Linked DNA regions of Notamacropus eugenii. The protein of the gene in region 4 interacts with the protein of the main gene of each other region in a biochemical or structural test. Links are inferred from orthologs where the notes say so. Each region holds a gene or a part of one and is shown on either strand. Other genes may lie near its edges.

Region 1 (6,833 bases), on a different chromosome or scaffold from region 4:
TCACCTCAACAGGTTCAGAAGCTGAGCTTATCTTTCCCCCTAAATCTAGTCCTCTTCCTTCACTATTTCTGTCCATGGTACTGCCATTCCCCCTGACTTCCATGTTCATTCACAACCTTGAAGTTAGTTCTGACTACTCTCCCAAACACACCTATATGCCTTCTTACCCCAGTGCCATACTTAATTCCTACTCGTTCTTTACAGCCTAGTGTCTCCTCCTTACCACCTTCCTCGATCTCATCTTAGAATAGCCATATCCCCACCCTGTTCACCCACAGCCATCTGTCCAGTATCAGCCTAGACTCAGGTGCCAGGACAAGGACCATGCCTTCCCTCTTCTTCTGGAGGGGATGTAAAGAGGCTGCTTTCATGAATTTGGTTCTATTTGGTCTCCAGGAAATCTTGGAGAGGACAGAGGGGAAAACCAACTCATCTTCTAGAAAAAAAGAAAGTAAATGAACAAGAAAAATCAAGGAAATAGGTGTTTGGGTGCTTATGTGTCTGTTGGTAGTGGTTCCAGTATGTGAAGGAGATCAGGGAGAAATACGCATGGAAGAGTGGGTTGGATTCAGATCATGGAGGGCCTTGAATGCCAAGATAAGAATATTGTAATTTCTTCCCTAAGCTATGGGGAATCACTGAATTTTTTGTCTATATTACTTTGGTAGTTGTGAGAAGGATGGGTTGCAGAAGGGAAGACTGGAGGAAGGGGTATCAGTTCAAGGAATTATTTTAAGAAGTAGTCTCATGGTTGTCATTTGAGTGGAGAGCTGGGGAAAGCTGGGAGAGCTGTCTTGAAAGCAGAACAAGGATTGACAGTTGTTTGGTTATAGAGGGCAAAAGAGGGGAAAGCCTTAAAGATACCTCCAGGTTTCAAGCCCAGGGGACTGGGAAAATGGTAGGGCTATCCATAGAAACAGGGAAATCCAAAGGAGGAAAGATTTCAAGGGAAAGAAGACTTGTTCAGATTGGGTTATATAGAGTTTGAAATGCTGGTAGATCATTCAGGTAGGGATGCCCAGCAGATAGCTGGAGATCTAGGGCCAGAATTTAGCTTGGGGCTGAAGAGGTGAAGATTTGAGAATCATCCTAATAGATAGTTATTGAAGCATGGATGGTCATAGGATCCCTTAGTTAGATCTGGAAAAGACCTCAGTAGCCTTCCAGTCCCTTTTTATACATGAAGAAACTGAGGTAGAGAAGTTAAAGTGTCTTGTCTAGGATCAATTGGCTAGACAGTGACAGAGGGAGTTGAATTCAGGTCTTCCTACTCCCTTCTTACTTCCAGTCCAGCTTTGCCAGGTCATTAGGGTAGAATGTGAAAAGGAAAGTATTTCTAGGACAGGGCCTTGGGGCATGGGGAGGGGAAGGATTCACAGTTAGAGGAGGAAGAGGAACCAGAGGAAGAAACCAAGAAAGTAGGGCCAGACAGCTGGATAACTGAGAGATCAGCATCTCTATACATAGTTAGGTTAGATATGATGACCAGTTAACCAAAAATGAACTGGGTTCATCCTACGGAGCATCTCCTTCAGAGTGCTCCCTTTGGAAGACACATCACTGATTCCCAGTCACCTGCACCAAGAAGGAATGAGCAAGAGATCCTCATTACTCTATGGTCAGGCCCACTTCTGACTTGACCTAGACAAACGATTCTATGACCACTTCCTGATGGCTGGTCGATTGGTTGTTGCTCTTTGATCTTGAAGTGGGCCAAAATGACCTGTCAGAGTCAAGGTATTGTGTCCAACTCTGGCTGATCAGACCAATGTGATATCAGAATGCTCTACATGGGCTGGGCACAAATACTTCACATGAACAGTTGGAGTGGAGATGGCTCTAAATTTGTACATCTAACATTTCTTTTGAGCTACTGCAATTCTGTTTCACTCATAGAGCACAATGCCTTCTGTCATGTGGGCATGACATGCTTGGTGGTCCTGTGTCAGTGTCTTCCATGTTTCACAATCAATTCTAAAGTTTTTCAGAGAGACTTTCAGAGTGTCCTTGTATACTTTTGACCACCTCCTGACTCACCAAATTTGGACTCAATAACTTTGGGCTATTTCTAACATTTAAACCTACCCTTCAAGATAGATATTGAGAATTTGTGCAAGACTATAAAGACCTATGGGTTTAGTGGTCAAAGTGCTGGCATTGGAGGAAGACATAAGTTGAAATCCTACCTGTTGTCACTTACTAGCCATGTGACCCTGAACTAATCACAGCCTCTCTGAGATTCAAGTGTTCACATCTGTGAAAGGAAATGTTTGGACCCCATGACCTCTGAGGACCTTATAGTTCTAGGTTTATGACTATCATCAGCCTTTTCCAAAGACTAGATACATATATGCCCTGGTGGAGGAAGGGGGAAGGAATGTTTGAAGGCAAGACTAAGTTCTGGTCTGTTGTGTTTTGTTTTGTCATATGACTTTAAAGATCCTTCTCGTGTGTGTGTGCGTGTGTGTGTGTGTGCTTTGTTTGTTTATATTTGTTTTATTTGTTTATATCATGGAATCACAGATTTCGAGCTAGAATGGAAATCCTTTAAAGACATCTGTCTAAGCCAATCCCTACATTTGCTAGGTCATCTTGGGGCATTTCTTGGGGGTTTCAAACGCCTGGTATTGCAACTCGCTCTGTGATGCCTTAGGTAACTTATGAGGCTCAGAAAGACAGGCAGCAGGTGGCCCAGCACTGGGTTTGGAATCAGGAATATTCCTCTTTCCGAGATCAAACTTGGCCTCAGACACTTACTAGCTGTATGACCTTGGGCAAGTCACTTAACCCTGTCTCAGTTCCCTCATCCATAAAATGAGCTGGAGAATCATATGGCAAACCACTTCAGTATCTATCAAGACTACCCCCAATGGGGTCACAAAGAATCGGAACCTACTCAACAACAAAACAACGGAAAGGTTAGGGCCAAGAGATTAAGTGATGGTCCAGAGCACTCAGCTAGTTTGTGTCAGAGGTGGAACGTGGCCTTGCCCTCTACCCACAGCTCCTCCTCTTCATTGTAGAAGTGAGGGAACTGGGGCCCAGATAGATCTGGAGAATTGTCGAGGTCACAAAGCTCCAAAGTGTCGAATAGAGCCTGGAGCCTCTGATTCGAAAGCCGAAGTTCTTTATGTCTGTATATTCTTGGATATGTTAGTGAGCCGCGAGCATGTGTGTGTGATCTCTCATGTATGTATTAGCGTCTGGGTCCATATGTGCTTGTGAGGACACTGACGGGTGTGCATGCGAGTGTACTGGTGGAGGTGAAATGCTGGGAGCGCTGAGCTTTAGCCTTCGGGCCGTCCCGTGGTTGAGCCCTCCTTAAAGCAGCGCGTCCCAGTAGGGGACGTTCCCAGCCGGTCCACAGCAGGAGTGGGTCAGGGAGTAGCAGAGGCGCACCCCACCCCGGGACCCGCCCGTCCTCCCCCGAGTAAGGCCGAGCCGGAGTACAGAGCAGGGGCAACAGAGCGGGGAGGAGAGCGCAGCCCAGTCCCGCTCGTTCCCATCCCGCACTGCCCAGCTCGGCTCAGCCTGACCCGCGCAGCCCAGCCTCGACAGCCCAATCCCGTACAGCCCCAGCGCGCAGCCCCGCGCAGCGCGCAGCCCGGCGCAGAAGGCAGCTAAGCGCCACCAATTGGGCAGCCGGAGCCCAATGCAACGAAGGCGGCTGCAGCGCAACGGAGCGAGTGAGCGCCCGGTGCCGCGGGCGAGGCCGGACCCTGCCCCTGCCCCGCCCCGCCCCGCCCCGCCCCGCCTCCGGAGGCAGGCAGCCCGCCCGCAAGCCCTCCTGCCCGCGCCTCCCCGGGAGCGGCCCGGCAGCAGCGGGCAGCCGGGAAACGAGTGAGCGAGCCAGTGAGCGCGGAGCCGGGCGGCTTGGGAAGGAGCCGTGCCAGCCAGAGCCGGAGCAGGAGCAGGAGCAAACAGGAGGCGGCGGGCGAAGGGCGAGCCAGCGAGTGAGCAGGTAAGGAGCGAGAGCTTGGGGCTGTTGCTATAACAGCAGCCCCACGCGGGCGGGCCTGGGGCAGAGGCCGGGGTCAGTGGCAGTCCTGAGCCCCTGGCCGACCCAGGGGCGCCCAACTTTCTTCCCCCGGGTCGGGCGACAGCGGCTTTCTCTTTGCCCGGGAGCTGGCGATGCTGCCCTTTTTCGCGGCCCCAGGACTGCTCCTGCTGTCGCTGCTACTACTACGGGCTGCCCCGCTGGGACAGAGGGAGCCCTGAGCCCCTGCAGCCAGCCCCTCCTCCCCTCGCACCCCTCCAGGGCTCCCCAGCTCCCCCCCCCCCCGCAGAGATTTCCCTGAGAGAATCCCCTCCCCCGGAGGCTCCCTCTGCGTTCCCATGACCCCCTTATCCTGGACTTCCCCCCCATCGGGAAAACAGGGACGCAGCAAACCAGAGCTTGGGGGATTCCTCCTTTCCACCCCTCGCCCGCCCCAACCTTCCCGGTGCTCAGGAAACGTCTCCAGGCGTTAGTGTCCTCTTCTTCCCCCCCACCCTCGGTCCCAGTCCCCTGGTGGAAGCTTCCTTCCGTCACTGTGGCAATGTCGGGGGGCAGTGGAAGAAAGGGGAGTAGAAGCTCTGCTTAGAATTTTCGAGACCCCCCGTCCCGGCCATTCTGGGCTTTATTTTTCTTCTGGGGTCCGAGAGAGGTTTGTAGAACGGAACAACCCCCAAGGTCAGAACAGTCTTGGCTGGGGGGTAGAGGGAACGGCTGGGGGAGGGGGGCTCCCAGGGACTCAGGTTGGACTGGAGTGGGAGGACATTAGCTGACAACCAAGAGAGGCTTGGAATGGGGGGAAGAGGTCCCCTCATCTTTGGGGGCAATTGTCTTCCCCGCTTTCTATCCGATTACTGTTTTCTCTGATGTGGTTGTGTGTGGTTGTGTGTGTGTGTGTGTGTGTGTGTGTGTGTGTGTGTGTGTGTGTGTGTGTGTGTGTGTAAGGGGGAGGTTGAAAGGGGGAAATCTCGATAATGTCTTCGAAGGGAAAGAGATGTAGCTTCCTTTGGATACCTTTCAAACGGCTTTTCGTTGTGCACCTACTGTGTGCAAAGCCCTTTGGTTGTGTACATAGTACTCGGACTGGAAGAGATTTCTGTTACCTATACTGGAGCGGGCGGGGGTTAGAGAAGGATCTGAGCTTTGTGTTCTTTCTGTTAATGGAGGTATGGAGGGGGGGCAGGCATCTCGCCGTCGGTGGGGATGTTTCTGCATGTCTCTGGAGGACCATGGTGTCCCGAGACCAGTGGATTAGCTTGGGACAGGGACGGGAGACTGAAAAAAGGGGCTGAGAGGGGAGATTTCTCCCCGACCCCCCATCTCCCCCTCCCCCCACTATATGTTCTGGGAAGGAGTCCCTGCGTGGAAAATTGCGGCGAGAGGCTGCTTGCCCGACCCTATTAACTGGACAGGACTGCTGGAGGTGTCGGGGCCGGATAGGCAGCCTCGAACTGGGTCCCCAGACCCAGGCTCCCTCCCGTGCCCTAAGGCATCCCCTTGCCCACGTGCTTTTTTCTCTGAGGCTTTGGACTGAAACCTCTCTGGGGACCCGCCGAGAGGCTCGGGAGAAAGAGGTGCACGGAAACCCGGCTGCCTCGCCCGGCAGTTTAAGATTGTCAGACCTGCCGGCCTCGCCTGGACTGTGCGCTTTGACCAGCCGGGAAGCCGAAGGCGGCTTCTCCAGGCAATGACTCCATGAGAGTGGGCACTTGTTCGCCACTGGACTACGAGCAGGACCCTTCTGGGCTAGTCTCACCTCCGAGTTTACCCCTGGCAGGAGGTAAAGAAGAGGGCCCTGGCCCGCCTTGGAATTTCTTGGGGAAGGACTTTGGTAACTCCAAATCGGCTTATCCCAGGCTTTCCCCAGATCATAGGTTTCCGACCCCAGAAAGGGAAGGGACCTCGTAGGTCTCCCAGTCCAATCCACCCACTTTACAGATAAAGACGCTGGGGCCCAAGGAAATACAATAATCTCCCCAGCGAAGCACATACTTGCACACAGAAAGAACTTAATAAATGCATTAATATAAAATCTGAAAACAGAATTGAGAAACAGCTCCATGGATCGTTCACCCCTTGCGCAGTACCTCTGAATAAGGCTGTCTACTTAGCCATCCTTATAAGCAGCCTAGCTTAAAACTGTTTTTAGACAAGAATAATATTCTTTTAATTCATTTATGATGTGTGAAATGCTATATATATATATTTCTCATTTGAGCCCCACAACAACCTTATCATGTAGCTGCCATTAATGTCACAATTTTACAGATGAGGAAATTGAGGCTGAGGAAGGTTAAGTGACTTTGTCCAGGTCACACAGTTAAGTGCCTGAGGTAGGATTTGAATTCAGGTCTTCCTGACTCAATGTCCAGCTCTCTGTCCTCTGTTAACATATATTAAAAGATAAAACAGTGCAAGGGAAACCAGTAACTCTCTGAGGCAACAGGTTTATAAAAAACTGAGAGGCACAATGACTGAGCTCGGGTTCTCTCTTTGCTACTCACCTCTCTGGGCCTCAGTTTCCCCTTTTTGCATAGACTAGATAAGCTCAGTGGTCTCTGAATTTAGACTGCCCAATCAAGGAACCCACAAAATATGCAGATTATTGTTATTGTAATCTCAGCTGAAGAACAGGACCTTTAAGTGGCTGTCCAGGGCCAGTCCTGTATCTAGGCAAAAGGAATAGCTGTCTCAAAGCAATAAATACCAGCACTGATACCAAGAAATGCTAAGAAAGCCCTGCTCTCTCACCACCAGTCCGCCAAAGTGCTTAAATCTCTGCCCTTAGCATGTCATTCCTTTGTTTGTCTTCCTCTCCAGAAGGCAGCTATTGAAATAC
Region 2 (7,158 bases), on a different chromosome or scaffold from region 4:
ACTCCTCCCAAGTAAAGGCCTCTGTAAGGTCCACTTGTAGCAATGAGTATTTGCTCATTTCTGGGAGTGTTCTCCACGGCCCATCCCAAATTTTGAAGGGATATTATTTTAGGAACACAATTGGTATCGTGTCAGTCAGGGTAGGGATGAGTTCAAATCCTGGAGGAAAAAAATGGCCCTAAGTGGATCGAGCTGGAAAGAACTCTGAACATCCTCTCATTTACAGAGGATGAGGGGCTCCCAGAGCTGAAAGGTAGCAAGCGACAAAGTAGAGATTCCTGTCATTCCAAACATGCTCTGTATTCTCCTTCACTGAGGCCGGGGGGGGGGGGGGGGGGCGCCAAGGGATTCGGAGAAAGGGGACTCAGAAGTCAAGTATAACTTCCTCCACACTAGCTGTGTGCCCACCCCTCAGGGACTGAGGCAACATCTTAAACCAGTCACTTTCAAGAAAGTGGTCTTTTTGCATTGATTCAGGGAGGGGACCTCTCTCCATGCTGACCTGGGCTCGGTTCCCCGGGCTCTCATGGACTCAGCAATCCCAAGTGTCCCTGCAGAGGAGTCACCCTGCTGAGGCAGTCTTGGGGATTGAGCTACCTTGTCTAAGCCTTGGCCTCTTCTGTCCAGAGGGCTGAGGGATGGGATGTAGGGTGAGAGGTGTACAAAGGGTTCACATGCTCCATAAAAGACAAGATAAAAAGTTGCCTGGTCATCTGTCAGCTTCTCCTCAAGCAGGTGAGGTCAGGTGAAGGAAAGTCATTGCTCCTCTGCCCTTCCCTGCCCCCATCTCATCAGGACCGAGCCTTAGGACACTGAGGCAGGACCAGGCATCTCCGAATTTCACACTAACCCTGCAGATTCTGCTAGGGGGTCAGGATGCTTTACAACCTCCCAAGCCCTGGCCGCCTCCTCTGTGCCCAGAGCTTTTCAGTCCCTGGTTCCTCCAGAGTCCTCCAGGCTGTGGAGAGCGGGAAAGGAATGGGTCCCAGCTGCAGGCAGTCAAGTCGGCTTGCTCCCAGCTGCCGTGGAAGGTCCCCAGAGCTAAGTCAATCGTTTTTGAAGTTGGCCTCCCACAGCATGCTTATGCTTTGCAAATTTGTTTTGGCACAGGAGCTGGGGTGCAACCTGTGACTCGACTTACTCATTAGATGGAAACGGCCTTTGTCAGCTGCCACATTGCTTGAGTCACCATGTTGCTAAAATAAGCTGTCTTCTGTGAATCGTGCTGCTCTAATTCTGCTTTCTTGTCATTTTTGCTTGGGTTCTGTCTTCTGCTTTGCCTTGCCTTCATTGTTTTCCCTTTTCTCCTGCTGTTCTACTAAGTAGGCAAACAAACCCTGAGACACAGTATGCTTCAGCCACGGGATGGATGGAAGACAAAACAAACAGCTGTTTAAACCTGCCCGGTAGGAAATCCGAGACATTAATGTGTATCAAAGCAGGTGCTGCAAGAAGTCTGTCTTGCAGCCCTTGCTGGAACAGAGTCCCCTCAAAACCTGAGATTGGCCACCTCTGACTTCCACCAAAGTCCTTTTGCTAGAGTCTCTCCCCTCCCATCAGCTTTCACTCACAGAGATATTACACACACCTTTACTGCCAGAGCTAGGAAGCAAGAGATTCAGCCCTAAGGATGATTCTTTTTTGCCAAAAAGCCCCTTTCAAGATGAGGCTTCCCTTCATATATCTCCCTGGCGATCATCAGAGTTCCTGGTATGCCTCATGTGCTACCACCGATGTTGCAGTATTGGACATGTCTTTGCTAAACATGTCATTTCACAAGGATTTAGACTTTCTTCTGGGTGAGGTCTTTCTGAGACATTGTCCTCTGGGCAAGTACAGCTCTTCAATGATGTCAAACCATGAGGGAAAAAAGGCCCCTGGCTTTGTTTTAATTCAAGAATATTCCTCCTTTGCCAAGTGACATGTCCATAAACAGCCTATGGGCATCAGAGCCCCCAAAGGTGAAAAGGCTATGGGTAAGGACCCAGTAGTAGGTCACTGAGCCATGGAACAATGACACAGGGCTTTGCCAGTAGATCCTGATCCAGTAGAGTCATTAGGATTTGGGCAAGGGAGATAAGAATCCCAGATGAAGGGCAGGTTCCATCAGATTTCCCAATGAGAATTACAACTTCATCCAATTTGGAATATTGGCCAGCGAGCCCTGTGGATAAGGCCCCCAACCTCAGTTTTTCTATGGAATAAGGGGCAATTGAAAGACTGACATTCATTGAGTATTTCCTAGGATTTCAGTCAGGTGTGGAACCCATCTTCCGAGGGTTCTAGTGCATGACTTTACCATATGCACATGTGGATGTGGATCTGCCTATGCGGGGTATGGACATTCCAAGTCTACACTTGTATGACTGTAATTTCTCTGGCCTTTTCCATTCTGTTCATGGACTCGTTGAGGGCTCCACCTTTTTATGACAAACCCATATTCTTTAAATGATACAGCAATGGTAAAACAACATCCCTGTCACTTTACAATGACTAGCCACCTCAACCAATCCTGAGTAGAATTTTTCTTCTTCACAAGGAAATACAGGTAAGTATAAGCCTTCCAGACCTACAGTATGGGTACTTGCATTCTCAGATCTCCTAGAAGAATGTGTGTGGGGAGGGCTCCCAGGTTCTCCACCTGCCCCTTATGGATCCTGGAAGCAAGAGAGGGGAGGAGGACCAGGTCTGGTCATTACAACTTGGGGTGATTTTATCTTCTCCCTCAGAGGCTCTTATTGCCTCAGGCAGAGGGCTTTTCTAGATAGAAAAGGGGGCTCTCTTGCTGACTAGACTCTTGGCAAATTGACATCCTCAGCATCAGCTCACTGCTGGCACTTCTTCCTGCCTGGAAACCTGCCAGGGCTCCTACTCTGAGTCTGGGTCACTCCTGCCTGGGGAAAAGGAAGCATCGTGGAAATGTATAATTAATTTGGCCTCACCCAATGTAAGCCCCTTCTCTGGGATTCTCCAGGGCTCACTGATGACAGACAGCTCAAATACTAATTGGACGATTTTGAACCCAGGCAAGCAGAGATTAATGCCCTCCTCTCCCCTCTCCCCACTCGCTTGACCCTTGTTAATGATATTTCTCTAGAGAACAGACTGTGGGACCAGAAAAAGGAGGAGATGATTGTTGATTCACTAAAACATAACACCCCATCTGCCTGGCCTACACTGGGCACATCTCCACCATAGCCTACTCACAGAACTAGTCTAATCATTCAGTGTGATTCCTAGTGGGAGGCATTTCTGGCAGTCGTAATCTCCTTTGGTTTGCTTTCAGCTGTAGGTGTTTCAAATGCTACCTGGGATCTATGTATGCCAATTGGTAGTCCTCCTTGGAGGTCTGCTGCCCAGCTCCAAATTGCATCTTAACTCACCTCCTACTTGTCTTCCAGCTTCAGACATCAGCAGACTTGCTTGAGCGCAACTTCCTGTGAGGTAAGCTTCTTCCCCAAACCCAGGAGCGGCTTTTCCTGACTTCCAGTCCTCTCCATGAGTAGTGAGTTGTTTATCAAGGTCCTGCTAGGGCCTGTGAGAAGCAACTGAGCTAGAGACATGTAAAAGCATTGTGTGGAGATGAGTCATTCATCAGTTCAGGAACGATCAGCTTTTCAAATGTGCCTAGAGATTGGGGAGGGGTGTTCATCTCTACTCTGAGGATTTCTGGTATCTTTCAGACCTATGGGCCTCCTGCCCCAGGTTCATGAGATCAGAAACTCATGAGCTTCCCACCCCCAAAGCAAAGGGAAGAGTTTCTGAGAAGCCTTGGATAAATAACAGGCATCTGGCCCCTTTCGAAGAAATCCCCAGCCAAGGAGGTACAATGAAGGAGATTCAGTAAAAACATGACCCTGTGGCCAAGCCGCGTCTTTACTTCGCAGTATCATTGATCCTGGAAATTTTGGAGAGAGAGCTCAGTTATTTTTCTGAAGGGGCCCAGTGGCCCTTTCATGTTCTCTCAACAGAGTTGGAAAAATGTGGGGTTTATTTGTTCTAACCTTGGTTTGGAGTGATGAGAGAGGAATTTCAGGAATTTCTCATGGAAGGTTTTTTCTTCCCCTCCAAGGAAGACCAGGATTCTCAACTGAACGGCCAACTGATAATGTTCCCTAGGTGCCCGAGTGGAAACACTGTGCAACCATGAGTCTTCTAATACCCAGACTTAGGGCACTCTCCAGGTAAGAACAGCCAAGAGGTAGCCTGAGGCTTGCTTCCTCGCAGTGCAGAAAAGACCTTTGGAGCAAACTGAACCCTCCTAGTAAGCACTATCTGCTGCTAGAGAGAAATTGATCCTTGCAAAAATATCAGCCAATCAACCTTTTCCTTAATTTTTGAAATCCTGAAATCAAACAATGAAATAGGCTCTTTGTAGAGGTTATAGGTTTCCTTTCACTGGTGGTCTGTTTTGTCCATTCATAGGAGAGGGAAGAGAAAAGATAAAATAGTCCAGTCTCAGACTAGATGTCTTTCAGGATCCAGTCTGACTCCACAAGGCCATCTATTGAGGAAACTGAGGTAGGGGGAGGGAATGAATGATGTAGTAGCCAAGGTTAGCATAGCACTCTCTCATCTTTCACGGCCAACAAGAGGATAAGAATGGCACCCAAAAAGGGTGGTGATGACCCTTTTCTTTTTTCCATCCCCCTACTGGGGTAGGTAGTAAGAATCAGATGACATCAGCTTACCTGAGAGACACCTGTCAACTCCTTTCCGTGGTCTTCATAGGCCTCACCAAGCACAAAGTGAATGGGAAAGTCCAATATCACTGACCCAGAGGGAAAAGCGTGGTGTGGGACTACTTAAAGATGTTTGCTCTGTGGGCATGAACCTCCTTTTGGTCTTTTCTCCCTTTCCAGATTGTGTGTAAGAGTAAATGCGTGATTATAACCTCCTCTGTGCCCACCATGTTTGTCACATCCTAGGATCACAATGGGGAAAATCATGACTTAGAAATAAGCTACATGTGAAAAGGGTTTTTCCTTGTCTCTTGGGGTGATTGAAGGAAAGAATTTGAGATGGATACAATACATTATCCTCCTTATGGGGCTGATTCATTAACTGAGGTCACCATGGAAAACACCTGACATGGGGTGGGGTACTCATTCATTCAGCAAAAGCAATGTCATTCTGCACTGAAAGTCTCATACAAATCTTGGACAGATGTTCACCTGCAATTGGAAAGGAACGAGTTTTTGCACAAAGCTCATATAATCATGAATAGACTTACTCACAAATGATTTGTGCTACAACATGTCAGAACAAATCTCCAACAGGCCCTCGTGGCCTGCGAAACAGAGTTGCCTCAGTAGTTTGGGGAATGTAGCCACACTCCGGGAATGACCTCTCTTCTCCTAGTGCCCAACATGGAAAGCCTTTGGTTTGATGTGGAGTATTCCACCCATAGTACCAATCTGTGACTTATAGTGATGACAAGGATGCCATCCAGGACCCCCTTTAAGATACACTGAAAGGAGAGGCATTTGTGTCCATACTTCTCACTTCTGAGCCCAGTAGCTCAGTATATCTGTCTCTGTACATGTGGGTAGAATCATAAGCATGCCAGGTCTATCTCAAAAGGGAATGTGGCCCCAGCATGGGATCCCATGGGCTCCTTTCAGGGTCTCAGAGGCACTCTGAAGGAAAGCAAATCCTAATGCCAAGCTACCAAATTCATCCTAGCGCATCTCCAAAGACCCTCTCCGTAATGAGACCAGGTTATGCTGCATCATGAACTTAGACACAGCTTTGAGTAGGGATGAGCCCAGTCCTTGGATCCCATCTGTTTCTTTCCTAGGTTTGGGTCCCATGATCCTTTCCCCAACTAACTTGTCATACAAAGCTGTCTATTTTTCACAGCATCCTTTGTTTCCTCTATCATTTAACTTAGATCAGAGGCAAGACCAGGTCCGAGGGGAGATGTGATGTCAGTTTCTTTATCCCTGCAAGGCTCCTGGTGGGCCAGAAGCATCTCCCCTGGGTCTTACATTTGGTATCAGGCTGCTACCAGGAGGCTCAAACTGCTCTTTCCCAGAGCAAAATCGAAAATGGCAGGAGGATGCTCAGCATCCAGGCTTGGGAGCCCAATCCTGAGACTCATCCATCCTTTGGACAGATCATGTGATGTCTGAGCATGGGACAGAGGTGGGGGAGTAGTGTTATTCGGTAGGAGACACAAGCCAGCAGACCTAGCTAAAGATGGTGAGCCTGACACCCTGACCTGAGGCTCCTGGGCGGTCTGTTCCTCCCTCCCAAGGAGAACTGGGTCTAGGTAACTCTTTGAAAGCCTTTAATCCCCTTTTCATTAAAAGCATAGCAGTTATGCAGAAACTCTTGGCCCTTTGTCCAAAGGGGAAAGGCAAGGCCATGGGGGTGGATATTTAACGCGACTCTTTGAGGGTGGGTTAGAGTAAGGCCAGGAGAAGGGCAAAAGAGAGTCCAAGCTCTGGTCTCAGAAGGACTTGACTTTGGCCAAAGCTCCAGACTTGGAGAACTGTGGCAGAAACAACCAGGATCCCTTCCCACTGGGTATCCTCCCTCCAGCCTTCTGTGATCGTGAAGCATTTCTGTTGGTGTTTCCATTGGTATAATGAGAAGGAACAAGACACAGTGGTGATTCAAACCTGAGAGAGTATAGGTAAGAGATCAGAGATGGAGGTTGAGGGTGTGGAAAAGGATTCCCTGGGGGGGGGGGGGGGTCATGTCACTAGGGTCCTGAAAGTGGTGCTCAGAGAGTATCTCAGGAAAGCATTCCCTGTCTGCTACTTTCAGAAGGGAAGATGGCCTGCCTGTTTCACCATGCAAGGAACCAGGACCCAAAGCTTACTTGGTGAGGATGGTGTAGCTGCCTTCTCTGTAGGGTCTAGGTAGACCCTACATTGTCCCTCTGCAAATGCGGTGCTAAAATGCCTGGGCTGGGCAGATTCTGCTCACCGATGTCTCATACCCTGGGTGCTCTGCTCACCTTTGGTACGATGGGTGGAATAAGCCAGATCAAACCTAACTGCCCAAAGAGGACTGCGGTTATAGTGCTGGAAGGTACCTCAGACGTCATCTCCCTTAGCTGAGAGGGAAAGAAGTTGGTACCTGGGGAGGTCCAATGACTCCTCTCCTTCTTCCTTGAGTTGCTGCTTCTGTGATCTTTGGCAAGACAGT
Region 3 (7,397 bases), on a different chromosome or scaffold from region 4:
AGCCTTGGGCATGGAGATGACTCTCACACCTGCCATATTTAGAAGGGAACTCATTCCTTTTCCCTCCCAAACTCCCCTTCAGCCTGGCTCCCCTAGGTCTGCTGAAGGTGCCACCACCCTCCTGGACACCCACATTCCCAAGCTCAGCATCAGGCTGATCAGTTGTTGAATCTTGTCAATCAACTGTCCTTCTCTCCACTTCTCCCATCACCCTCCTAGCTCAGACCCTCCTTCCTTCTCTCCTGCAGTACTTCATTAACCTCCCAATTGCTCTTTCTGTCTTCAGTCTCTCCCCTCCCCAGTGCCTGCTCTGAATAGCGGCCAATGTGATTTTCCCAAGTGAATCTGCCTATGTCCCTTTACTGCTCAGAGAACTCCAATAGCTTCCTGTTGCCTGCTCCTCTGGTTGACTTTTAAACCGTTTGCAATCTGGCTTTGGCACTACCTCGGCAAGTTTATCGTACTGTGCTCCCTTCTTGGGATTTTCATTGGCCCAAATGGGCCTGCTTGCTGGCCCCCATGGGGGATTTACCTTCTTTTCTCTCCATGCCTTTGCAGAGCTTGGCTCTTTCTCAGGTCTGGATGCAGTTTCCTTCTCCCCCCTGTCCCAAGGAGCTTCCTCATTTCCTTCCAAGCTCAGTTCCCAGCTGCCTCCTTCATGAAGTCCATTCCGATCTACCTAGTCACTGTCTAACCCTGCTCCCAGAAATTATTTTATATTTCAATAAAACAAAAAAATTTGGATACTACCCCCTGAGAGGATGTAAGATATTTGAAGGCACAGACTGTTCTGTGTGTGTGTGTGCTTTGTCTCTGTAACTCCAGCACTTCACTCAGTATGAGGCACTTAATAAATGCCTATTAATGGATGATCTATTTCTATTTCTGGCCCCTAGTAGCTAGGTGGTACAGCTAGTTGGGTAGAGCTCTGGGCTTAGAGCCAGGAAGACCTGAGTTCTAATTCTGCTTCAGACACTTACTAGCTGTGTGACTTTGGGCTAGTCATATAACTTCTCTCAGCCTCAGTTTCCTCATTTGTAAAATGGGAACAATGATAACACCTGCCTCTCAGGCTTGTTATGAGGATCAAATGAGATAATATTTGTAAAATGCTTTATAAACCTTAAAGCATCATATAAATGCTTTATCATGATCATCAACACCATTACAGTGCCTGGGAAATGGCAAGTATTCAATGCATGCTGAATTGATCTGCAAACATAGACTGTCGGAGCTGGGAATGACCATCTTAGAGTCCACCAGCCCCAGTTTCTCACTTAGAGATGGAGCTGAAGAACATTTGGAGGAGGGAGGGAAGGTGAGTGCCTCATTGCTTGGGAGAATCTCCTCTCCTGGGCTGAGGCTGTCTTCCAGGACAACTCCTGGTGTTGGGAGGTAGATACAAACAGCCATTGAGGAGGGTCTTTTAGTCTTCAAGTCAGTGTCATTCCCTACCCTGACCTGCTCCCCCGAAGTGATCCAAAATTGGGAGATTTCTCCTATCTTTCCACCTGTTCTCTTTTTCCCCTTCCTAACCTTACACTAGCCTGGTTGCCAGCTAATTCCAGTTGAGGTGCCAGTTAATACAAGCAGGTGGTTTCCCCCTTTCCCAGAAGAAAGTGCTTTCTGCAGGACTTTGGAAGCATCCCTCCCACCCCCGAACCCTCAGAATCCAAGTGAATTGATCCCTTATATACTGTATTATAGAGAAAAATCAGGGCTACGATCCAGGAGACCTGACCTTCAGTCCCAGCTCTGTTGGCTAACTTCCTCTGGGGCTTTTGCTAAGTCATCTCCCCTCTGTGGACCTCAGTTTTTATCTCTGTAAATAAAACATTGGAATTAGAGGTCCTCCACTAAACCTTCCATTTCTCCCTTTCTGTGCATCTCTGTGTCTGTGTCCTTTTCCAGCTCGTCCACTCTGTGGCTCTAATGGTGGAATTTCAGGCACAGTGACAGTAGAGAGGGGAACATTTTCAGGAGGGAGTAGGGTAACCTTCCTAGTGACTTTGGAATAATGGTCTGTTACGCCTGTTTTGTCAAAGCATACAGCAGGAACCTTCGAGTAACAACCCTCCTCAGCTCCCCAGACAGTTCTGAGGGTTGAGCCCACACCCTTCCCTCCCTATCACTGTTTCCCCACCCCAACATCTATGTCCCCAGGGCTAATGGCTCCTGCACCAGGGTGATGGTGGTGGTGGGGTTTAGGTAGTGAGGGCACTGGCTGGCATAGAGCAGTGACGGTCATGTTCCTCTGTTGTTGTAGCTAGGGGTAGGTGATGAGGACACAGGCACCCAGAGCCAGGAGAGGCCAAGGGAAGGGGGGTTGGGTGGAGAGACGGTGGGGAGAGTTTCTCCCAGGGAAGCTGGCACCACTTGAGCTGTTGATCTCTAAATTACAGCGCTGCCTCTTCAGCCTGGACCCCGGCAGCAGCCGCACTGTTGCTGTGGCAACTGAGTTGTCCCGAACCGGGGAAGTGTATAAACACTGCTACAGATACACAATTAGATCAACAAAAAGAATAGAACAGAAAATAGAAACTCCCAGCCTTCCATAATTCTGGGCCAAAATGTTACCAAGAGCCGTCTCTTGGCCTCCTCCTCCCTGCCCACCCTGGCCCTGCTGGTGGCAGAGACTTGGTTGGCACCAGGCAAGGCAGGGGGATGGAGCGGTGCTTTGGCTATCTCCTCTTTCTCAGATGGATGGGGGAGTGAGGGGGACAAAGGGCAGTCTCGGGGGAAGGGGCTGACTGTCTGTACCCCAGGCTGTAGCCAAGTTACTTCTCCATGACCCTTATGGACACCAGCACCTCAGCGGCCCCTACCCACCACCACCATCATCATCACCATGGTCATCACTGTCACCATGGTTACAGTCATCACTGTCGCCATCACCATGACCATTATCCTCTTGGTCATCACTGTCATTATCACTAGCAACATCATCCCCATTGTCCCTATGACCACGATCACCATCTTTGCCTTTGCCACCATGACCACCATGTTTTCTGTCTCTGTCACCATCACCATTTTCACCACCTTTGTCATTGTCACCATGACCTCCATGTCTCCTGTCTGTCACCATCCCCGTTATCACCATTGTTACACCCACAATGATTTCTCATTGCTGAGCTTGTTTGCTCATTTGTGGAGCAGGGGTCTCGGAGTCCTGAGGGACGTCAGAGGGATGTCATCTCTTCCCCCTATACCAGTAGCATGAAGCCTTTGCCTGACATCTCTAACTAACCATTACTTCTTTAACCTATTCTTACACTTCCCATTTAACAGAGAGCTCCCTGTCACCTGCTTCCCTTTGGAATAGCTCTCATCTTAGGAATGATCTTCATATTGACCTGAAATCTGTCTCTGTGAGGTTCTGTCAGCCCTGTCCTGGCCTCCCTGAGCCAAATCTCAGCCCTGCCTGGCCTCCAGTCCAGAGACTGAATGTAGCGGAGAAAGCATATTGGCCTTGGAATAAGTAAAGGCACCTGGGTTCTCTTGTGGGCACAGACAATAACCAGCCATGTGGGAGAAAATTGAATTCACCATTAGGGACCATCCTATCCAACTTCCTGGCATCCGAGAGGCAGGAAACACAGACTTAGAGAGGAGGTTTGTGTCCTGAGTCACAGAGATGGGAAGGACTCCAAACCTAGACCTCCAACTCCAAGTCCAGGGCTTCCTTCCACCCCACATGCCCCTTCCCCCTCAGAGCCTCCATTTCCTCATCTGTGAAATGGGGATGATAGCTGTTGTGCTGCTGACACACCTCACAGGGCTTTGCTTCAGAAAGCAATTTGGAAACATCAAATCCCTAGAGAAACAGGAGCTATTTTTACCCAGTGAGATAATGCACATACAAGTTCTTCCCAAATACCACAGCATTCTACACAGGCAGGGGATTTATATCATCACTATCATTTTATCATTATTCCATTTGCTGCCCTTCAGCAAGCATTTAGTAAGTGCCTACTGTTATGTGCCAGGCACGGACTTGCTGACCCCTGGGGACACAAATACAAAAGCACCCCATCCCCAGCAGGAGTCCATGTCCCACTGAATGCCACTCAGGAGGTGACTTATTTTGGGAACCAGCCTGTGCTTTCATTCACCTAGAGTACTTCCAGTGAGGAAGCACCCTTCACCAATGCCCCTGTCACCCACCCCACAGCGTAGAGTCTGAATAGAGGCAATCTGGCAGAGCAGTGGATAGAGCCTGAGTTCAAATCCAGCCTCACAAACCTACTGTGTGACACCAAGCAAGTCACTTAACCCTATTTGCTTCACTTTCCTCACCTGTAAAATGGGGATAATAATATCAACCTCCCAGGAAGGTTGTGAGGATCAAATGAGATAATATTTGTCAAATCGCTTATCACAGTTAGTTGGGATTGTTATTGTAGGACTTCTTAGAGCATTGAGAGGTTACGTGACTTGCTCAAGGTCACCCAGGCGAGATCTATTTATTCCAGGCTGGACTTGAACCCACCTTCTTGGCTCTGAGGCTGACTGTTCCCTCCACTTGGAGCAGATGATTACGGTTTCTGGTTTCATTGGCTAACCCTCGTTTATCCGCTCCCCTAACGTCTGGCCACCGTGTCTCTTCTCCAGGTCCGGCGCCATCCCAGGTGGTGAGGACAGCCACTGGATCTCTGCCAGGGGCGGGATGAACGGACACAGCCGGAACGGGCAGGCTCATGCCCCCCGGCGGAAGCGCCGCAACCGCTTTGTCAAGAAGAATGGCCAGTGTAACGTTTACTTCGCCAACCTCAGTAACAAGTCCCAGCGCTACATGGCCGACATCTTCACCACCTGCGTGGACACGCGCTGGCGGTACATGCTCATGATTTTCTCCGCCGCTTTCCTGGTCTCGTGGCTCTTCTTTGGCCTCCTCTTCTGGTGCATCGCCTTCTTCCACGGTGACCTGGACCCCAGTCCGGCCCCAGCGTCTGGCCCTGCTGGAGCAGGTCCCGGAGGAGGCGGGAGCCCGCCGCAGGCTGCCGTGAAGCCTTGCATCATGCATGTGAATGGCTTCCTGGGAGCCTTTCTCTTCTCGGTGGAGACTCAGACCACCATCGGCTACGGCTTTCGCTGTGTGACAGAGGAGTGCCCGTTGGCCGTCATGGCTGTGGTGGTGCAGTCCATTGTGGGCTGCGTCATTGACTCTTTCATGATCGGCACCATTATGGCCAAGATGGCCCGGCCCAAGAAGCGGGCCCAGACACTGCTCTTCAGCCACCACGCTGTCATCTCTGTGAGGGACGGCAAACTGTGCCTCATGTGGCGGGTGGGCAACCTACGGAAGAGTCATATCGTGGAGGCCCATGTTCGGGCCCAGCTCATCAAGCCGTACATGACGGAGGAGGGTGAGTACCTGCCCCTGGACCAGCGGGACCTCAATGTGGGCTACGACATTGGGCTGGACCGCATCTTCCTGGTGTCCCCCATCATCATTGTTCATGAGATTGATGAGGAGAGCCCCCTGTACGGCATGGGCAAAGAAGAGCTAGAGTCGGAGGACTTTGAGATTGTGGTCATCCTGGAGGGCATGGTGGAAGCCACAGCCATGACCACCCAGGCCCGCAGCTCCTACCTGGCCAGTGAGATACTCTGGGGCCACCGCTTTGAGCCTGTGGTCTTTGAGGAGAAGAGCCACTACAAGGTGGACTATTCGCGTTTCCATAAGACCTACGAGGTGGCTGGCACGCCGTGTTGCTCAGCCCGTGAGCTCCAGGAAAGCAAGATCACGGTCCTTCCTGCCCCACCGCCACCACCCAGTGCCTTCTGCTATGAGAATGAGCTGGCACTCATGAGCCAGGAGGAGGATGAACTGGAGGAGGATGTGGCTGGCTTGGGGCTGGAGGGCGGCTCTAAGGAAGATGGTGGCATCATTCGCATGTTGGAGTTTGGGAGCCACCTGGATTTGGAGAGGATGCAGTCTACCTTGCCCCTTGACAACATCTCCTACCGTCGGGAGTCAGCCATCTGACCTCCTGCCCTTTCGTCTACCCATATCCCCTTTGTCATCTTGGGCTCCCATTCCCTAACCCCATGTCCAATGTGGGAAAATCCCCCTTTCTAGGCAGGAGAAGGACCAGCAGACCATGAACATCCCCTCCCTCAATATCCCTGGGACAAACACTTCCCCCTCCCAAGGACAGAACCCAGCCAGGCCATGGGAACCCTTCTGGTGGCCCCATGGGACCATGAGAAATGAGTGTATGAGTAGTGCCCAAAAACTAGACCCTGGCAACAGGGAGGCCCCTATCCGTGAGTTCTGCCATGCCAACCATCCCACAACATCTACTGCTGTGGGCCTGACTCTACCTGCAGATCCAGAATTGCCCAAGATGGCACCCCTAGGCCCTTCCAGGACATGCCCCCAGCTGCCCTGGAGAACTTCAGGGGGGTTCCTTGGACAGATGTGGAGGGTGTGGGGCTCACACGGAGGCTAGGGCTGGAAAGCTGGTTGGGGGAAGTAGAAGAAAGGGTTTACCTTGCATGTTTGTGACCTGTCACACATCCTTTTGTAAATATATACATATATATAAAGACAAGAGAGATCCAACCCAGATTCTTCAATTTCCCGGGGCAGGATGTGGAGATGAAGCCCGGCCCCTCTTCCTCTCCCTCATGTACTGGCTCTTACAGCTCCTTGGTCCTTGAACTGTCTCAGAATGAGGGATGTCAACCCAAGAAGCCCCCAGGGTCAGGGCTCCCTTCATGTGCTAGCCCAACCTCTGCTGGTCCCCTGACCACCCACCCCAGCTTCTGCCCATCTTCCCCCACCCTTTGAACACACACAACTGTACAATGGGATTTTTAATTATTTTTAATAAAGTATCCAATCCTCTTGGAGCCACATGGGCCAAAAGGAGGGGGAGAAAGAGACCTAGAGTATGAGAGGCATGTCTACCATCTTCCTAGGGTCTTGGTTGTTGGGAATTGGAGGGAGGGAGGAGGAAGAAGGCAGGGGCAGGAGGACTCAGTAGGATGTAGTAGCAGTAATCCTTTCAGTGTAGAAGAAGCAGGGCTTGTGGGAGAGACACTGCAGACAGAGGGAGAAAATCTAGGTTTGAATCCTGGGGCTGTTTATTAACTATGAAGACCTTATATGCTGTTTCCCGGTTTGGGGTCTCAGTTTCTTGGAATTGAAGAATGGAAGCAACCTTGGAGACCATCTTTTCCAACCCTTACTTGGGCAGGCACAACGAAGGGGGAGGGAGTTGGGGTTAAGTGGGGGAGCTGATGAGTTCTGTTTGCAGATGTTCAGTTTGGGTTGAGGTGTAGAGGCTTTGCTGGAGCTGGAAAAATGGACCCAAGCTTGGGAAGGAGATGAGGGTGTGGTGTGTAGATTTGAGAGAGATGATTACTGAACCCAGGGCAGGAGATCCTAT
Region 4 (7,113 bases):
ATGACAGCTGGCACCATGAGCACGCCAACCCTTTTCCTTGACTCAAATCAGGTTTTGTTGACTTACAGTGGTCGAAGTGCTGAGGTACCGTCTCTCAGAACCATGTCACCAGACCAGTCTCTGAATTTGGGGTCTATCTGCTAGAATGGGAGAGGCTGGTATCCCCCCACAGGCTTGCAAAAAGTGTTGGACCCCTTTTATGTGGCCTGAAAGCCCTACCCTAGAGTCCTCCCAAAAAAGTATTGACATGGTCTCCAGAAGGTCCCCCTTTCAACATACGTGTGAGTTGCGACAAGGAGGGAGGGTGTTTTCTAGCTATCTCCACGTTCTCTCCATATCAGTCCAGTTGCTCAAGTGTTTCTCCATTTGGGCTTGGACAGACCTTGCCTGAGCTGCCTCAGAGATCAATGTCCACCTGTCACAGTAGCATCTGAATTCCATCTGAAACCGAGCCAGCTTTTTAAAATGAATGCTAAAGACCCTTCCAGGGTCAGGGAACTCACCCAGGAGAATTTAGACATAGCCAGGAATAATTATAAAACAGATTAGAAGGCAATAAACTCTATGATCCCAAGTGTATAAAAGTATTAAATGCTATGAGACTGGGTGAGGAAGAAATGACTTTTAACCAGGGGCATCAAGGGATGCTTCAGGGAGAAGGGTAGGAATTCAACAGGTGGAGAGGGAGGAGGATGAGCAAAGACAAAGAGACAGGAAAGGATGAGACACTACAAAGCAGGGTGAATCATGTAGTATAGAATGAATGGAGGCCAATGGGAAATGAGGCTGACAAGTACAGAGGTGGCTGATTGAGTGCAACGATAAGGGTCTTGGGCTGTATTCAGTGAGCAATGGGGTACACACTCCATGGTTTTGAACAGAGAAACAATGTGATTACAGCTGTACATAAGGACAGAAAGGCTAGGATTAAAAAAAAGCCTGAGAGAGCTAGACAGGACTTTGGGGATCATAGATCCACAACCCACAGTTCACCTCATCCAACCTCATTTTACAGATGAGGCAATTGAGGTCTAGAGAAGTCAAATTACTTCCCCAAAGTCTCTTGGGTAGTTTCTTTGGTTGTGGGTTTCAACCCAGGTCCTCTGTCTCTAGGATCAATGTGCTTTTTGGTGTACCATGTTGCCTAAGCAGTGGAGAAAAATGGACTTGGCTTCAGAAGATCCCAGTTCAAATCCTAACTCTGCTCTTGACTATCTGCCTGCTGAGATATTCTGTTAGATAGATAAAGCATTCATTAAGCCATATTGTGGGTCAGGCTTTGTTCCCCTCTGCTTGCCACTTGCCCATAAGGATCTTATATTCTAATAGCCGAAGATCACACATAAAGAGAGATCACATTCTTGGGACCATGACATGGGCAGCCTAGGAAATGGAGGGGAGGCCCTATTCACCTGCAAGATAAAGGCAAAAACACAAGGACTTGGGGGAGAATCTGGAATCCACAAGATTACTGGTGGGGAGAAAGAGGAGGTGATGGTCCCAGGAGAGGCTGCATGGATCCATCTATCATCCATTCATGGATGGATCTGGGGATGTACATTATTTCTTATGTATATTCCAAAAAGGACATGTATATCCCCTTAGCACAGCACTTGGCACATAGTGAGGACTCCAAAAATGCTTGTTGACTGATAGATTTGGGGCAAGTCACAATTTCCTTGAGCCTCAGTTTCCTTATATGTAAAAGAAGGAAGTTAGACTAAATGATATCTCTGAGGGCTCTTCTAGCTTTACATTCTTTTTCATTTATTCATTCAATAAACAGTTATTAAGTGTCTACTATGTAAAAACACTAGAATTAAGAGAGGTTGGGGAAGACTTTCTGTAGATTTTAGTTAAAACTTAAAAGTTAGGGAGGTCAGTAGTCAGAGTGGAGCAGTTAGAGCATTCCAAGTAGGGGGGACAACCAGAGACCTAAAGTTTTGTTTGTGGTACAGCCAGGAGGCCAGTATCACTGGACCAAAGAGTACATGGCAGGATTCAAGGTATGAGAAGGCTAGAAAATTAGGAGGGAACTATGGGTTATAAAGGACTTTGAATGTCAAACACAGCATTTTTCATTTGATCCTGGAGGCAACAGGGAGCCAATGGAGTTTACTGAGTAGGGGGATAACATGATCAGACCTTCACTTTAGGAAAATCACTTTAATGGTTAAGTGGAAGATGGATTGGAGGGGGAAGAGACTTGAGGACCGCAGACTAACCAACAGGCTACAGCAATAGTCTAGACAGGAAGTAATGAGGGCCTGTGCTAGGGTGATGGCAGTGGAGAGAAGGGGGCTTATTAGATGTTGCAAAGGTAAAATCAACAGGTCTTGGCCACAGCTTGGATATGGGAGGGGGGAGGAAGGGCAAGACAGTGAGGAATCCAGGATGACTCCCAGGCTGTGAGCCTGAGGGCCTGGGAGGATGGTGTTGCCCTTTACAGTCATATGGAAGGTAAGAGGGGGAGAAGGTTTAGAGCGAAAAATAAGGAGCTTTGTTTTGTTGGACATATTGACTATAAGATGTCTACTGAACATCCAGTTTGAGATGTCTGAAAGACAGCTGGATATCTATGATCCTAAATTTCCTGAGGCTATCTACTTCAGCCCAGGACACCAGGATAGAAAAGAGAAGAGAATAAGGGCAGAAGCTCTTGGTGGAGAGGATGGTGGTCCTGTGTCGAAATCTTTTTAGCAGGAGTTAGTTTAGCCTTTGGCTGGGAAAGTTATTGCCCCTGACGGCAGGGAGAAAGGCTAAAAAACCCAAAGGCCTAGGTGGGAAATAGTAAAAACAGAAGGTGCCAGGGAGGCTCTCCACTTAAGACAGAGGACCAGCCACCCTTCTCCCAATAAGGATTGTCAAGGCTGTTGATGCCACATAAAGCTCTGACCAGTGACTTAATCAGATCACCTCCATCTGCTCAGTGATTTTGTCACAGCCTGACACATCCACTCCGAATGCTGCCTTCATGATCTTAGGTGAGTCACTTAACCCGTGTGTTTCAGTTTCCTTATTGGTAAAATGAAGGGGGTGGATTAGATGACCTCTCTAAGGTACCTTCCAACTCAAAGTCTATGAATCTATCTTTCTTTGAAGCCCCATGGTCCAGGGCAGAGGAGTTAAACACATGTTGGAGACAGACAATACACTCTTGAATGGCTGGAAGCAGATTAAAGTGTAACTGGGTAAAATGTAACAGAAATATTAAAATGAAATAAAATAAAGATATATTGCATTTTAAAACTAAGTCAATAAATCCCTGGGGGGGGGGGGTTCCTTATGTAAGGATTAATGGATCCTATTTCTGTGAGTTTGATAGGTCTAAAGGAGTGAGGGGCTGGTCAGATCAGCCAACTCTTGGGTTAACTCTTTACTTGCTGGATCTAACTTTAGGGTAGACTGAGCCCCCTCTTGAAATCACAGTCAAACATCTAGGCCACCAACCTCCCTCTAGCGGGACCAGCACATGACTGATGAAGGTCAAGGTGGAAAGAGCAGTGAATTTGGAACCAAGAAAGGGAGGACAGAGAATCTGGGCATGGAGTAAAGTCTGGGAAAAGACACAGAGAGGCCAGATGGAATGTTGATATATCCTCTAGTTAGGTAATAGCAAGTAGGCCAGTTTGGCTGAAAATGCTCTATTTTCTGGGTGGGAGAGTGGGAGGGAGTGAAGAATAACCCATGAAAGATAGGTTGGAGTCAGGTTGTGAAGGGCTTTAGAGGCCAAAGAGAGGAATTTCTATTTTCTCCTAGAGGCCATAGGGAGGCAGCCAAACTCGAGCATGGAATAGCCAGGGCCATGGTCAAGCCTGGCCTTCCATCCATCAGCCTGTTCAGCCGTTAACTCTGTGACCTTGGCCAAGATCATCTCCCTCTCTGGTCTTGTCTGTTGATTTGTAAAATTAGGGAGCACGCTGGGAAAAGGGTCTTCCGAAGGGGGTGGTCTTCGTTTTGCCCACCTTTCTCTGAGAGTGGAGGTCAGTCTCCTTTTCCATCTTTCCTTGGGGCATCCAAGCGCTTCCTCCAGCACCTACACTTAGCTCGTGCAGAGGAACGCCAGGAGAACCCGCCCCGTCCAGTCCTGGAATTTGGAACGGAGATCCCGCGGAAGGGCGAGAAAAGGGTGACCGGTATCCCTTCCTCTCCCGGCCGAGGGGCGGGAGGCGGGGTGGCAGTTGGGCCCGGTGCCCGGTGCCCCCGCTCTTGGGCTCCCCCGCGGTGCCCCCGGGCCGCCGGCGGGGCGGGGAGGAAGGGTAGAAAAGGGGCGGGGAGGGGCGGGGAGGGGGCCGGAGCGCTCGCCGGCCGCTGGCTCTCTAGCTCCCGGGCTCTCCAGCTCCCTGGCTCTGAAGATGGCGGCGGGTAGGCGCTCCCCGAAGAGCGGGCTACTGGAGCTGCGGGCTCCGGGCAGCGCGGGGCCCGGGCCCTGGCTACGGGTCTTGGTCAGCCTGGCAGCCGATGTGGTGACGGTGAGCGCCGCGCCGGCTAGCGGAGAGCCTGAGCCGGGGCCGGGCTCCGGCTCGGAGCCTGCGTCCGCGTCCTTGCCCCAGCTCAACGGCTCGGACTCCGGGGCGCCCGCAGCCCCCAGAGCGCCCCCAACGCCTCCACTGCCCCACGCGCTGCTCAACCAGAAGCGAACCGTGCGTGTGGTGAAGCAGGAGGCGGGCGGACTGGGCATCAGCATCAAAGGTAGCGGCCCCAGGGGCACGGGCTGGGGGACACGGCGGGAGCACAGGGGCGGCAGCGGGACGTGGGGAGGGCAGCCGAGCCGGGCTGAAGGTGAAGAAGCCCAGCATGGCAGAGCGACAGAGACAGGAGGGGTGAGGGGCGCTCTGCGTCCTGGCGCCGTGCCGGGCACTGCCCTGTCTGTCGGATTGACTGCCTGTCTGGCTTTCGGGGTCCCAGCGTTTGCGGGAGGGTGACCGCGGTGGGAGCCGATCAGACCCTTGAAGATCACGACCTGGCCACATGGAGACAAACGCAAGTTCTTACCCAGTTTCTCGCTCTGCAAACTTCACGGGACAGCGGGGCCTGGCAGGCTGAGCTGGTGGGCAGGGCCTCCGCGAGGAGAGCAGCCCAGTCTGGGGACTGGCTGGGAGCCTGGCTCCAATGGTAGCCTCATTGCTTCCTAGTCCGAGTCTCCGGGAGCTCCACGGAACCCTCACAGGGTAGTGCCTGTCCACTGTGGTCTAAACTCTCCAGTCCAGCCTGTTGGCCCTGGCTGGAAGTGAGGCAGGACTCCCTCTGCCCTCTGCTGTGCCAGTTCCCCGAGCCTGTTACATAGCACTCCTCGACCCTCCCACCTTTGTCCTCACAGTGATGCTCTGCTCCTGGTAGGTTTTAAAGCTTACAAAGTAGGTTCTCCACCATTTTACATGTAAAGAAACCCCAGAGAAGCTAAGGACTAGGAAGTATCAGAGGCAGAATTGGAACCCAGGGCTCCCAGCTCGAAGACCAGAACTGCTGCCGTCTCCATCTGCCTTGTCCTTCAGCTTTCCATAAAATTAAGGTCTGGCTTCCAGGCCATTATAAAGGTGGGGGAATCTTAGTCCATGATCCCTCCCACTTCAGTCCTGGTTTCTTCATCTCCGCTAATCTTCCCCTTCCCTTATTTTTCCCCCTTTCATGTCTTTCTCTTATTTATTTCTCTTTTCTCTAGTCTCTCTTTTCCCTGACTTCTCTCTCCTAATTTCTCTCTCCCCTAAGAGCTATGTGGATGCTTATGGGTCTGGATAGGGTAACAATTCTCAGAGGGCTGAAGGTCCCTTTGTCCTGGGTCCCAGAGCCATATTAGGACATTTCTGGTCACAGATGGTTTTTGTAGCAGAGAACAGACAAAATATCCCCAGACATCAGCAGGAAGAGCCATTAGAGGTAGAGTTAGAATATTGGGGGGGAAGGGGAAGAATCACCTCTTCCAGACTGATATGTGAATGGCAGGATTGAATGCTATCGTAGTCTTAGGATAGAATTTCCCATCAGACAGCATGCAGCAAGTACCGTCCACTGACCCCTTTATCATTTTGTAGAGAGTGAAAAGAGGGGAGATGAATTATCTTAGGTCACACAGGAAATTAACAGCAGTCGAAGAGACTCGTACCAAGGTCTTCCAGTCCTCAGCCCACAGCTCTTTATGAGTACCCCATAATCCTCCTCTGCCTTTGCTCATTGCTTGTGCCTCCCTCCTCCTTTTCCATGGAGTTGGCAAAGGTGGACAGCTAGGTCTCCATTGAGAACAGAGCCCTGCCCTTTCCAAGTGGGAAAGACACACTATCTATAGTTCTCTCTTGGATTTGAGGATGAGTTCTTGTCACCTCAAGGGAAGTCATTTCTCCTGAACCTGGTTTGGAAGTTTGGCTATTGAGGGTTCATGACAGTCTCAGCTAATGCTGTGTTTAGAGTTCTACTAACTTTTTGCTTTGGAGAACAGCTCATGAACTTGGAGCTATCCCTTCAGGTCTGGTATTCTTCTTGGAGGTAGGGTCCAAAGGCCATAAAACCTCTTAGCTAAGGCCACTTCCTCTCCCCCCCTAACCACACATACACAGCCTTTCTGCTAAATAAGTTTTTTGAGTCTAATGTACTCTCTGGGGTTGTGCTAAATCCCCTCCTCTTCCTAGGCCACAACCTGTCCCTCCATAAAATGGGGAGAGAACTGTTAAAACAGAATGAGTCTTGGACCTGGGAGTCAGGAGACCTGGGTTCTAGTTCCAGTTCTACCACTGACTTACTGTGTGACCTTGGGTGGGTCACTCCCCCTCTCCAGCCTCAGCTTCCCCTGTGTAAAAGGAGAGGCTTGGACGAATGACCTCTGAAGTCTCTTCCAGTTCTAATGGTCTCTGGTTCCATTTTTAGGGTCCTCCTGCCTTTTCCTATACTTTTCATAATGCTAGTAGGTACTTATTTAATACCTGTCACCCCAATTCCCTGGCATTGATGCCTGTTTCCTTATCTCCTGCGTGTGCCTACATATATACCTGTCTGTGTGTGCATCCTCAGGTGGCCGAGAGAACAAGATGCCCATTCTCATCTCCAAGATCTTCAAAGGGCTGGCAGCTGACCAGACAGAGGCTCTGTTTGTGGGCGATGCCATCCTGTCAGTGAATGGTG

What was found.
Region 1: the proteins of SNTA1 (region 4) and SCN5A interact in a test that uses a peptide from one of them, tested with the Homo sapiens proteins (2 studies listed by BioGRID and IntAct). The link is inferred for Notamacropus eugenii from reciprocal best matches to the Homo sapiens genes SNTA1 and SCN5A.
Region 2: the proteins of SNTA1 (region 4) and HTR2C interact in a test that uses a peptide from one of them, tested with the Homo sapiens proteins (2 studies listed by BioGRID and IntAct). The link is inferred for Notamacropus eugenii from reciprocal best matches to the Homo sapiens genes SNTA1 and HTR2C.
Region 3: the proteins of SNTA1 (region 4) and KCNJ4 interact in a test that uses a peptide from one of them, tested with the Homo sapiens proteins (2 studies listed by BioGRID and IntAct). The link is inferred for Notamacropus eugenii from reciprocal best matches to the Homo sapiens genes SNTA1 and KCNJ4.

What each region holds. Positions count from the first base shown.
Region 1 is NC_092874.1:473,245,231-473,252,063, reverse strand, and holds the start of SCN5A (sodium channel protein type 5 subunit alpha), read left to right. Parts: upstream 1-3,816; 5' UTR 3,817-3,961; intron 3,962-5,213; exon of another isoform or gene 5,214-6,833. UniProt on the Homo sapiens protein: Pore-forming subunit of Nav1.5, a voltage-gated sodium (Nav) channel that directly mediates the depolarizing phase of action potentials in excitable membranes.
Region 2 is NC_092879.1:95,876,132-95,883,289, reverse strand, and holds the start of HTR2C (5-hydroxytryptamine receptor 2C), read left to right. Parts: upstream 1-4,146; coding exon 4,147-4,184; intron 4,185-7,158. UniProt on the Homo sapiens protein: G-protein coupled receptor for 5-hydroxytryptamine (serotonin).
Region 3 is NC_092874.1:295,848,183-295,855,579, reverse strand, and holds KCNJ4 (inward rectifier potassium channel 4), read left to right. Parts: upstream 1-4,590; 5' UTR 4,591-4,666; coding exon 4,667-5,989; 3' UTR 5,990-6,886; downstream 6,887-7,397. UniProt on the Homo sapiens protein: Inward rectifier potassium channels are characterized by a greater tendency to allow potassium to flow into the cell rather than out of it.
Region 4 is NC_092872.1:417,512,327-417,519,439, reverse strand, and holds the start of SNTA1 (alpha-1-syntrophin), read left to right. Parts: upstream 1-4,091; 5' UTR 4,092-4,355; coding exon 4,356-4,692; intron 4,693-7,002; coding exon 7,003-7,113. UniProt on the Homo sapiens protein: Adapter protein that binds to and probably organizes the subcellular localization of a variety of membrane proteins. May link various receptors to the actin cytoskeleton and the extracellular matrix via the dystrophin glycoprotein complex.